3 linked regions of the Arabidopsis thaliana genome follow. The protein of the gene in region 1 interacts with the protein of each later gene in a pairwise test. Each region holds a gene or a part of one and is shown on either strand. Other genes may lie near its edges. The genes, in order: AT2G40010, AT1G01100 and AT5G47700.

Region 1 (4,804 bases):
ACCCCTTTATTTCTTCTTTAAACAGTTTATAAATTAACGTAACACTTGATTTAAATTATAATCTGATTTTATTATGAGGATAGGCTATGCAATTTTCTAAAAGAGTTTTTAATAATTTGATGATATTTTGTGATATGTATCTAAGGAAAGTTTGTAGTATAATTCAGATAGTATATAATATGATATAAATAGATAATAAAATAATATAATTCAGAAAGTTTGTTATAGGTGAGGTTTGGCACTTCAAAATCAAACCATCATTTGGACTAAGCAAGGCTGCAACCTTTTAAAGATAGATCTACACACCAACCAACATAGTTGCTATGCGCGACGAAAGAAAGAAGATAAGTGAAGGAATGAAACATATATTCTATGAAGTAAAATCTGAAATATTATGTAAAGTAGACTGTGCTTTTGGTTATATAGCTGAAACTAACCAAACTTGTTATATGTTGGATATGTTCCTGTCATAGTTGCTGGAGTATTGTCTGTTTGAGCTATTGAAACCTTTACTGAAGAAGATGAAATATACTCATTTGCGTAGTTACTGACAGAATCAGACAATGACATTGTTAACCAATATAATTGGGTTCAGAAAATTCCTCAACGGAGAGAAATTAAAACCAGAAAGGTAGTTTTGATGAAGAAACAAAATATCCATAAACGTAACAAAGAAATTCTGAACGTGAAAGTTTTAAAGGTCCATAAAATAAATAGGAAAGGCTGGCAAAAGATAAGACGGTGTATTTTAACCGAACAGATCAAATCCCATGTCCCCATCAGACTCTTCTGCAGCTTCTTCCTCAACAGCTACTGCCACCACTGCTCCACCAGACTCTCCTGAAACCGGTGCAGCCACTGCAACTGCAAACTTGGTTGGATCCTGATCCATAAATGTACAGTTAACAAACAATTTCATGACTACTAATCCCAATATCTGAAACGCAAAATGAAAGAGGACAAACCTTTAGGAACTCCTTCACATTCTCAGCCTGAGGGAAAGAGTACTCAGTAGCTAAGGCAACAGCAAGAACGTTCTTGTAAGCATTGAGGAACATGTGAGGCGCAGCTGCTACGGTTGGGTAAGAGATTGCAAGAGAAAGCGCAGTGATCATCGAGACACCAGCTGCAAACTTCTCAACAAGGTCGTCTTCAGTGAGGTTAAGCACTTCAGGGTTAAACACTGACCCATTATCGTAGACTGACTCAACAACGAGACCATACGAAAAGGGCCTGATTCCAAGCTTGGCAAGAAGCGCAGCCTCGGATGAACCGACTTTGTCGCCTTTCTTGATGAGCTCCACAGGGGTTATGATCTCAACCGTACCTTTGTTGATTTTGGTTGGAATGTTAAGCACCTGGAAGAAGGAGGTCTGTGAAGGGTCAAGACCAGTGTTGCCTGGTTGCACGACCACATCAATTGGAGCGACTAAACCTACACGAGCAGGAGCTCCAACCTGTCAAAAAAAGGACAATGAATTTCTCATCAATTAACAGTACAAGACTAAGTTGAAAAAATCAATCAATCCAACAACATGAAAGGACGCTACAAAAATGTGAGCCTAGGAAACTAGTAGACTCTCAAGTAAGTTTCTTGAATGTGGTTGCGTTTCAAGACAGAAAATAGAGGTTTTGAGTTCCAATTTAAACCAAAATGCAAACTTTATCACCTATCCACCTTACAAGTTAATAACCTAAAGCCATAGGTTAAAGGATGATCATAAACTGACTAAATCATCAAGTAACAGTAGAAGCTAAAAATAAACCAATCAATCAAAACACAAAACAGAAACTACAAATGTCGTCTCCTCAAACCTCAATGAACCAAAATAACTAGTACTATAATCTAATCAACCCTATTTGCTTGGAAAGTGAAAGTTTGCATTTGTGTTTAAAATCGAATAATACAACACCTTGCATTCTTGCTTACTTAGAGATAATCAGATACAGCATAAAACTAACCAAACTAAGTAATAAACCAATCAATGAAAATGTAATCTCCTCAAAGCTCAACGAATCATAATAATCTCAATTAGAATGTGGCTGCATTTTAAGCAAGAACACATATGATTTCATTTCAAACTCAAAAATACAAACTTTCACTTTCCAAGCTATCAATCCATATTTGAACTCTACTAAAGCTTAACAACAACAATAACATCAATTGAGCCAAAGAAACAAACCTTGTACTTAGCAACCTCTTCACTGACTTCCTTCAAGTCACCCTTAGTGAAGATCAACCCAACATTCCCCTGTTAAATAGATTCTAACACCAAACCAAATCAAATTCTCCACAAAACCAAAAAATCAATACTTTATATCCAAATGAAAACAAACTATTCAAGACAAGAGAAATGAAACCTGAAGAAGAGGAAGGAGACTGAGGAAAGCTTGATTGCCAGTTTTATCAGCATGAATCCTCACAGATCTCTTCATCATTGTGTTCTTCCCCATCAAAACAACTGAATCACCTCGTAAACCTTTCCTTATGTTCTGAAGCTGAGTTGATCCAACATTGTCAGCTGCAACGACAAGAATCTGAGAGTACTCATTCAAAAGCTGACAAAGCTTTGAATCGTAAACGATCTTCTTCTCCGCCTTTGTTGCTTTCACCGCCATTTCCACTTAAAAATGATAAAGTGAGACTAAAGAAACTAAATTTTGGGGTAGAGAAAATGGAGGGCCTAGACGAAGCTTGGAGCTCGTACAAGGTGGACAGCGCGAATTGGCGCTGTCTCTTTAACCTCTGTAACTGTTTTTAACAGAGGAAGGAAGAGAGAAAGAAAAAAAGCTGCGTAAGAATTTGCTTAAGGTTGAAGAAGAAGTTTCTTGGGTTTATATAGTTATCGGAAGACGGAAGGATGAACGGTCAGGGTTTGTGGGATGACCTAAATCTAACGGCTTATATTATTTGTAGTAGTATCAATGGGATGGGCCAATATTGCCCAACATGTTTAACATTATGAATCTTTTTCCTATTGGGCTAAAAGCTCTTTCGACCCACATCTCAAGCCCAACTGAGATCCATTCATTGTAATTCATACTTTATTATTTTTTATAGTAACCAATAAGAAAATGGTTGACTTAACAGAGAAAATGGTTGACCCAAACAAATACTATATTATTTTTTTAATTCGATTTCATTCAAAGAAGCATTTTTGGGAGACGAGGAGGCGATCCACGGCTTATTCTTAAGAAACCTTCCACAGTCGCCGCCGATTTTATCTTCTCCGCCGTAAGTACTCTCTTTCCCTATCGAATCTGAACGAAACAGCTCAGCACATTGTCATCTCTGTAGCAAAATTAAGTTCGTGTTTTTGTGTTTTGTTGTGATTCTGTTTAGGTTTCATTTGGGTTTGAATTTTAGGGTATTTTTGGTTTATCTCTAGTGTTACTGATTCGGGATTTTTGGGAAAGAGCTCAACTTTTGTTTTGTTTCATCTTTCGTTGATTTTGTTGTTACATAGGTTTGAAAAAAGGGATCACTTGTTTGGTTGCCTTTGTTTGTTTGTTTGATTATAACCCAAAGACTTATACTTTTGGTCCTCCAATTTCTTCTGAAACTACAGGGAATTGTGAGGGATCAACAAATGGCTCCCAGAGGAAGAAGAAAGGTATAAGCTGTACTGTTTTTTTTGTTTTGTTTTTCCAAATTAAAATGCTGGCTAACAAGTAAAGATATGAGCTTTTGAATCATATAGTTTTTAGAGAGTATAGTGGAAAACTAAGATAAAAGCATAGACATAGACATTAGAGTAGAATGACTATATAGATGAAGTATTTGAATGACATGATTGTTGAAGTTAACATTTTGTTTCTCTCTACGACTTCTGTGTACTCAACGTTGAGAACACTGATGAGATAAGTTTACAAATACTTCTTTTTATGATGGGTGTTCTTGTTTTTTTCCTTCTATGATTATCTCTCTTTTCTATGCTTTTAAATTGCTACTTTTCTTTTGCTTTTTTGCAGAAGGCTGGATTGATGCGAGAGGATGCAGCACGAGATCGCATGAGAGGATTTGGGTTTCATGAGCATGTTATCAGTGAGAGTATTAAGGAACTGTTAGAGGTTTGTTCGCTAGTTTTAGGGTCTCCATTTTTCCGTTGTTGATAACATTTTCCTTGCAACTTGAAAATAACGTTTTACCCACTTTGGATTTCAGGTCTACGAAGACCAATGGTTTTTGATTGAAGATGATAGCTATGGTCCCCTCCTTGCTATCTGCCTTGAAAAGCAAGAGGAAAAAGAGAAACAATTGGCTGAAGTACAAGCCAACCAATTGCCTGAGAATCACAATGAAGAGATGGCTGAGGAAGAACAACCCAATCAATTGGCTGTGGAAATACACGAAGAAGAGAAGGTGATTTGTTTTTCTTCCTTCTCGTTCTCTTTCTGTGCAGGTTCACAAATCTGTTGCTTCCATTGTTGGGATTCGTTTTGCTGGCATTATTAGAAACCATTGACAGAATTCTTGAACTTGGTTTACCCAAATGGTATGTAACTTGCAGCATGATCCATCTTTTGTAATACAGGAGCAGGAGCAGGACATGCATATTGAGTATGGAAGAGACCAAGCTGATGAGTTATCAATCAATAGCGAAGCAGTCAATGACCCATCACCAGCAGCTATTCATTTGGGAGAAGCATCATCAGATTATGCACAAAGTTCTGTTCGAGGTAATAAAAGCTTTTTTACTCATATCCATACCAATCTCAACATAAGAAATGAAACATTCTTTTACTGCGGTCAAAATAATTGATTAGGTGTGGAGAATCTTCATTGTGGATGGCTAATTGATGA
Region 2 (3,678 bases), on another chromosome or scaffold:
TAGCTTGCTTTCTCACATTATGTCCCCTCACCAATGCTTGTAGCTTCACTAACCCTTTTAATGCTCTTAATGCTCTTCTTGCCTTACCAAATTAGAAAGAACAAAACTTATATCAAGACCCAAAAAAAAATTATCTAAATGAAATCCCAATCTTTTAAATGGTAGATCTTGTATAAGCAATGTTAATTTTATAGACATAGACACACATCATTGTCACTAAAAAGTGGTCTAGAAGTCAAGTTGGTTAAAAAAATGAAAGTAAAAATATAGGTCATTAATAATTGCTCACCAAATATCCTCTGAAAGAAGTCTGGATGACAACAGCAGCGTAATTTTCTCTTGCGTAATAAATCCGCCTCGGTGCGAGTGTCTTAGATGCTGACGTGGCGATGGGGACTACGGCGGACGGGGGTTTACCGGCGTTGGATGGCGGCGTCGTAGTTGCGTAACTCGGTGCTGTCTCCGGAGAGGGTTTTGAGTTTACGTTAAGTGAATCTTCCTGAGGTGCTGGTGGAGAGATACCGGAAGACTTCACCGGAGATTCTTGAGTCGCCGGTTTTCTAAACCACCGTCTCTTCTCTCTCTTCTTTTTTTAAAAAAACAGAGAAAAATGAAAACCAATAATCATACTTTGAATATAGTAAGCAAATAATAAGATCTAAGAATAAGAAACCTTTTCTTCATCTTCTTCGACGTCATTACTATGATCTTTCTTCGTCGGAGATCGGAAAGCTCGCTTTACAGCGGTGAGCCAAGAAGAAGAGCCGTTCTTTTTCCCCATGTGTAATGTGTTTAATTACTTTTGGTCTCAACAAATTATTACCACTCTATTGTCTTTATGTATCGGTGTTCCGTGAAGTTGAGATTTAGGTATTTAGCTGTAGATTTTTTTTTCAGAAATAAGGAGTGAGAGAGAAACAGAAAGTACAGATAACCTTTGGTTGCTTTGTAAGAAGTTGCTCTGAGTCTGACCACCTCTTTTACTGCAACCACGACACCAATAACTGTGTTTCTTTCTCTTTAATAAATTTTATCTTTTCACCAAATACATAGTATTATTAATTTATTTTGTTGGCATCGATATTAACATGAATATATTCGTTTTTGGGTCCATATTGATTATATACCGTGCGGGACAATATACGTAGACTAGATAAGGAGAGAGATTGCACGTTGTTTTAGCTCCATAATCTACATTTTTATTTATTTTTTTTCTGTTATTCTACTAAATGCCAATATTTGGCTTAGCGCATGCGTAATTTTTACTACTATTATATAAAGTTGGTTGGAATGGTAGTAGGATGAACAAGTATTTATCGAGATTCTAAACAAATTGTATAAATCATTTTTTTTATTAATTGACAAATATAATCAAACTTGGTGTCTACAACTACATGATTTTGTGAAGTTTGGGGTTAAAGAACTAATCAAACTCGTGATTTTTGGACCAAGACGAATGTACAAGAAAAAATGAAAATATATTGGATCGCATATGATATGTTTATTGAAGACTATAAATATGTCAAATGAAGAATTATGTTACTAGTGCGAAAAGGACATCCATCAAGTATTGCTTGACCAAGCTCGTGCTGTCACATGCATGATGGACCACGGTGGTCGTTCCCTAGAAACCAACCAACAATTTCTGGTCAAAGTCAAATCTCTTAATTTGGGCTCTTATCTTTTATTTATTCACGGCTATTAGGTTTGAAGGCCCAATACTGAAAACAAATATATGTAAAATTAAAAAATGGGCCTAGCGAATATTTATGCGGCCCATCAAATAATTGGATAAAAGCTTTATAAACTCTGCATCTCCCGTCTCCGCATCCAAACCCTAGAAATTTTGTCTCTCTCGCCGCCTTGCGAAAAGCATTTTCGATCTTACTCTTAGGTAGTCTATGATTCTCCATTTGATCCGTTTATACTTGTTATTGGCATTTCATCATCGTCTGGGTTGTTCGACTTACTCTAATTTTGGTTTAAAACGGATTTAAAGTTTGTTTTTTTGTGAATAAGCAATTAATCTATTGTTACTGTTTTTGAATCGTTTCAGGATAAAAAAATGTCGACAGTTGGAGAGCTTGCTTGCAGCTACGCTGTTATGATCCTCGAGGACGAGGGTATCGCTATCACGGTATCTTTCCTTTGACTCCTGCTTGTCTATTTCTAAATCTTGATTGGTCTCTTTGCTTTAGTCAGTAGGGTTTTGGAACCGTTTCTTTTGACTTGATAGTTAGAAACTTAGTGAAAATGATTCTTATGGAGTGATAAGGATTTGGTATAGTATTATTTGGTCAGGAATTGAACAAGTATTTTATGTATCTGTCTAAATGTGTTTTGAATTGGGTAAAGATCTTTACTTGTGTTTGTTTATGTCGTTGATAGGCTGACAAAATCGCGACCTTGGTGAAAGCTGCTGGTGTTAGTATTGAGTCATACTGGCCAATGCTATTCGCCAAGATGGCTGAGAAACGTAACGTGACTGATCTCATCATGAACGTTGGTGCTGGTGGTGGAGGTGGTGCTCCGGTTGCAGCTGCTGCTCCAGCTGCTGGCGGTGGTGCGGCAGCTGCTCCTGCTGCTGAGGAGAAGAAGAAGGTAAATGAAATAGCAACGATAGACGAAATCATTCTTCTAACTAATAAGTGATATAAAATTGATCTCATTTTGGTATTGCAGGATGAGCCAGCAGAAGAGAGTGACGGAGATTTGGGTTTCGGTTTGTTTGACTAAACGCAGTCACTTGTCTTTCTTCTTTGTAGTTGGATATTGGAGACTATATTTTGTCGTATGAGTTATTATTACTTGTTTGATCTGGCTAAAGGACTATTAGTTGGTTTATGATGCGTATGTTGTATAACTCAAGTTTCCTAGCAAACCAATCGGCTCGGGCTTTTGTTAGAATTGATTTTGTTTATTTTCTACCAAGTCTTCGTTCATCAAATATAGGTCTTTAATTTCGAAAACGTCAAACCATAAATGTTAAATCCGGTCATACAATATTTAGAATTGTCATCAAATATAGGTCTTTAATAAAATTGGCTTTTGCAGTAATGTTAGGCCGGCCCAATGCCTTTATTATCGGAACATGTTAGTGTTTGTTCTTCTTCTTACCCAGCAGCGTCTTCATAACATTTGTACGTCTATTGTCATACATTCCATTTGATGAAATTGAGATAAGGATAAATACGATAAAAAAGTAATGGGATTTTTCGTAAGAGAAATAGGAAAACCAAAAAATGTTGTTTAGAGGATTAAATATGTTTCATAATAATTTAGTAGTAACGGTAGGAATTAGGTTTTAAATTCAATTTTCTTTCTTTTAGAGTCAAAAGTAGTTGCATCTATAGCTCTACCTGATAACAAAAGATTTATGGGATTATATACAAATCTTAAAGAAAACGGATCTATTCTTAAAACTCAATTGAAAAGCCATATTTCTAAATGGTTAGAATTTTATGGTTATTCACCTGAATTTGTTCAGATCATTTTGTTAATTTGATGATTCCACTATTGATTAACCAATTCGAGTTAAAGAAGAAAATAAATTATGTTGAGCATACTTAACAAGGATTATATTTGTAGATCGGATCTTGAAATTAAGAGATGAAATGAAAAGAAAGAAAAAAACATTGGTGTTAACGAAGAAGGGTGGGTCCAAAATTGATTAAATAT
Region 3 (3,649 bases), on another chromosome or scaffold:
TGATATGTGTTTACTTTCGAATGTGTGTACAGGGAGCTTGGAAGAGTAAAGTGGGTAAGTCAATCTCGAGGACAGCAATATAGGTTTGCCGTATGCCGTAATGTAGAAGAAATTGCGGTGATTGTCCTCAAAAATTGGTGGTCTCTGGATTGCTGTGGTGTATATGTGGTAAAAATGTGAGACTTGTAGGGTTAGTGATACATACTTGTTCTAACCACCATGTTGGAAAGAATAATAGGCAGAAAGAAGCTCCTCCAGAAGCTTTTGTGGTCATGTATTGTAGCCTCTGTGTGTGTTTATTTGTAGGTTTGTTTTACGTTTTTTCTTTTTCTGTAATATTTACAACTTATATTCCTTTACCCAAAGTACTATTCTCTTGTTGAACTTAACTGCTTTGCCAAATTTTTTTTGTAAACTTCTTTTGTTTATTTTATCGCTTGTCAAATCATGAAAGCTTTTCGGTTTTTGGGTAGAAAGGTTCAGAATGATCCGATCTGGCAAAAGGAAAAGAATGTATTTCCTTTCAAGTCCAAATTTAGCTGCTTGTCTGGTAGTATCACTCTCTTATCATCATATAGGGGCTATTGATTAAGGAAATGACCCGAGAGTAAAATGATGTCAACTACTTATTCTTGCGACTTAAAAAGGATGAAACTGAATTAAAACAATACAAAATGTTGTTCGTCAACCCACACGCCTGGCCAAACGGAGCAGGTTCAAACCACTCACCTTTTACACACACATGGTTCTTCAGGGATATAATAGAAAAGGAAATAGGAAGGGCTCAACCATAGTGATTTTGTCTAACTAAGCTCGTAAAACTCCTTTCCGTTGGGAAGATTTATCATTTTATCTTCTGATTCGACGAGCCTAGACTAATATCTCGAATGAATTAAAAAAAAAAGAGGTGACAAAATCATTTCTAAGGAAAGAAGGAGCCGATGGGTTTGCTTGAAAACTTGTGTCATACAACATATGGTTCAGAAAACAACTAATTATAGTTCTTCAGCCAGACCAAAACAAGTAATAGCTCGATACGAAAAAAAAATAGTCTCAAATCGAAGAAGAAAAAACAAGTAAAATGCACTTAATCGAACAAGCCAAAACCCAAATCTCCATCACTCTCTTCTGCTGGTTCGTCCTGCAACAGTAAATTTACAAAACAATTAGATAAATATACCAGATCATGCTTCGTTAGGGAAAAGCTACGAATTCATTGTTATATAATTTACCTTCTTCTTCTCCTCGGCAGCAGGAGCAGCAGCGGCAGCACCACCGCCAGCAGCAGGAGCAGCAGCTGCAACAGGCGCACCACCTCCACCACCAGCACCAACGTTCATGATGAGATCAGTGACATTACGTTTCTCAGCCATCTTGGCGAATAGCATTGGCCAGTATGACTCAATGGTAACACCAGCAGCTTTCACCAAAGTGGCGATTTTGTCAGCCTATCAACACAAATTCAACAAACAGAAGCAAAGATCTTTAAATTAATAAGTTATAACCCAATTCAAACATATATAGACAGAAACAAAAATACACTTGTTCAATTACTGACTCTATAACTCTACTAATCCTTATCAACGAAAGATTATAACTATTCACTTAGTTTCTAACTATCAAGTCACCAGAAACAGCTCAAAATCCTTAAACTCCATGAGCAATGATACAACGAGACCAATCAAAATTAAGAAAATAGTAAAGTAGAAAAGGAAGCATACCGTGATAGCAATACCCTCATCCTCGAGGATCATAACAGCGTAGCTGCAAGCGAGCTCTCCCACTGTCGACATTCTCTGAAACCATCAAAGTAACATAACAAACCAACATTATTCACAGATCAAAACAACACTGAAAATTTAATGGGAGAATAATCGGAAGGAATATATCTGCTTGTAAAATTCGAAAGAAAGAAATGAAGAATCATCGATAGAGTACCTTAGACTACGATTGAAATGCTTTCGCAACGCGGCTCCGGCTCGAGAGATGAAGTATCGCTAGGGTTTTTGATTCAGTGATGTGACGCAGCGTTTATAAAGAAAGCTTTGTATCAAAGCTTCATTAGGGCTTTCAAAATATATATATTCATTAGGCCCATTTAAAGATCTTCTGGACATTTTCAGATTTATTGGGCTTTGAGTATGTATTGGGCATGTCTATTTGGTGTGGTCAACGAATTCTTGTATTTCAAATGTTAATGTTTATGTTTTAAATAAAATGAACACATTTTGAAAGTTAAGGGATTAAAATAACATTTTTACCGTTTAACATTATGCTGCATAAAAAGTGTGAGATGTTTATTACACAAATTCGCATGGTCCTATATTGGAGCTTTAATGGTTAGACCGAGTCAAAGCGTGTCAGAGGCCACCTCTGATTTCAAGCATATAAACAATTTTTAAAGTTTTTTTTTTTCTTTTTCGTGTGGTAAAGGGTCACACAAAAGTATTTGATTCACTAATTTATTATAACCAGGATTAGGTTTACCTAACTTTTGTAGTAATTAATTCATTACCGTTACTGCTACGTTGTTCAAGAATCAAAGGAGTATTCGATAACTTGTAGAATATGATTTGGATAATTTTACTGTTTTCATTAGTTAGATACCACTAAATTACTATTACGGTCAAAACGCATGTTAAGACTTTGTTTGGTCAAATAAAATTCTTTATAGCAACCTCGAGAGTCGAGTCGAGACCATGGAATTTGTCTTTAAGACAACATTTGTATAAAAATGTTTTTCAACTAAAAACAAAAAATTCTGATGAGAATGATAGTCCTCGCCTCCTCTACAAAGGTGTAAGTAAGTAGCTGCTGCGTTAATCTCAAAGAAGACGAATACAAGTCTTTCTGTTTTGCTCAATTCATCACAACCACAAGAAGACGATTTTTTATTCTTGTTTCCAAACTGGTAAAGTTGTTCAGTAATTTTCTGTTTCTTATTTATTAGTTTTTTTCTTCTAAAGTTTGCAAATTTCTCAGTGAAACACTGAAACTTCCTTTTCAGTTCGTACCGTTCTTCGCTACTTTACTCATTCTTTAGGGTTTCAAGGTTTTCTATTGGTCTTGTTGTAGACTCGAGTAGCTTCTGGGTTCAACCCACAAAGTTTGAGCCTTTTTTGATTTGCAGAGTCCTCTGTGTTTCTTGGTTTGTCTCTTGATCAAGGTCTGCTTGCGATTTTTGTTTCTTTCTCTACCTTACTCGCTAGATAGATGTTTCTGTAGATTGGCAGCATTTGGTCTCTCTGTGTGGTTTTATTATTTACTGATATAAGTGTGAATCTTTCCCAGAATTTCGTTTTCTATATCAAGAAGCTCTCAGAAAATTTTGGGCTTGGCGTAGTTGTTTAGATATATCCTAGCTTCCTAGAGATTGAATGTTGAATGTTGAATGACTAGTACTTCCTTCTCTTTCTCTGTGTCTTGGTTGTCATATTCAACTGATTGTCTAATAAAGACAGTTGCTTTAGCTCTGTTATTCACGAGGATTGTCTCAAGAAGTTTCTAAAGTTGGTAGCATGTGTTTGTAGAATCTGAGATGGGCGAGCCACTAGGACTGCTCCAGGTGACTGTTATTCAAGGAAAGAAACTGGTGATCCGAGATTTCAAGTCAAGTGATCCTTATGTGATTGTCAAATTAGGAAATGAG

Evidence for each region.
Region 2: the proteins of AT2G40010 (region 1) and AT1G01100 interact in a two-hybrid assay, tested with the Arabidopsis thaliana proteins (one large-scale study listed by BioGRID).
Region 3: the proteins of AT2G40010 (region 1) and AT5G47700 interact in a two-hybrid assay, tested with the Arabidopsis thaliana proteins (one large-scale study listed by BioGRID).

The regions. Positions count from the first base shown.
Region 1 is NC_003071.7:16,707,830-16,712,633, forward strand, and holds AT2G40010 (Ribosomal protein L10 family protein), read right to left. Parts: upstream 2,944-4,804; 5' UTR 2,620-2,943; coding exon 2,362-2,619; intron 2,253-2,361; coding exon 2,184-2,252; intron 1,735-2,183; exon of another isoform or gene 1,458-1,734; coding exon 966-1,457; exon of another isoform or gene 884-965; coding exon 749-883; 3' UTR 550-748; downstream 1-549. Other genes in the region: AT2G40020 (Nucleolar histone methyltransferase-related protein), read left to right, coding at 3,934-4,071, 4,166-4,363, 4,536-4,680, 4,768-4,804. UniProt on the Arabidopsis thaliana protein: Ribosomal protein P0 is the functional equivalent of E.coli protein L10.
Region 2 is NC_003070.9:49,342-53,019, reverse strand, and holds AT1G01100 (60S acidic ribosomal protein family), read left to right. Parts: upstream 1-1,809; 5' UTR 1,810-1,894; exon of another isoform or gene 1,895-1,897; intron 1,898-1,911; exon of another isoform or gene 1,912-1,956; intron 1,957-2,056; 5' UTR 2,057-2,065; coding exon 2,066-2,137; intron 2,138-2,388; coding exon 2,389-2,601; intron 2,602-2,682; coding exon 2,683-2,736; 3' UTR 2,737-3,111; downstream 3,112-3,678. Other genes in the region: IQD18 (IQ-domain 18), read right to left, coding at 1-82, 290-586, 674-781. UniProt on the Arabidopsis thaliana protein: Plays an important role in the elongation step of protein synthesis.
Region 3 is NC_003076.8:19,326,932-19,330,580, forward strand, and holds AT5G47700 (60S acidic ribosomal protein family), read right to left. Parts: upstream 2,056-3,649; 5' UTR 1,939-2,055; intron 1,797-1,938; 5' UTR 1,794-1,796; coding exon 1,722-1,793; intron 1,449-1,721; coding exon 1,233-1,448; intron 1,142-1,232; coding exon 1,088-1,141; 3' UTR 635-1,087; downstream 1-634. Other genes in the region: AT5G47690 (binding protein), read left to right, coding at 33-83; AT5G47710 (Calcium-dependent lipid-binding (CaLB domain) family protein), read left to right, coding at 3,539-3,649.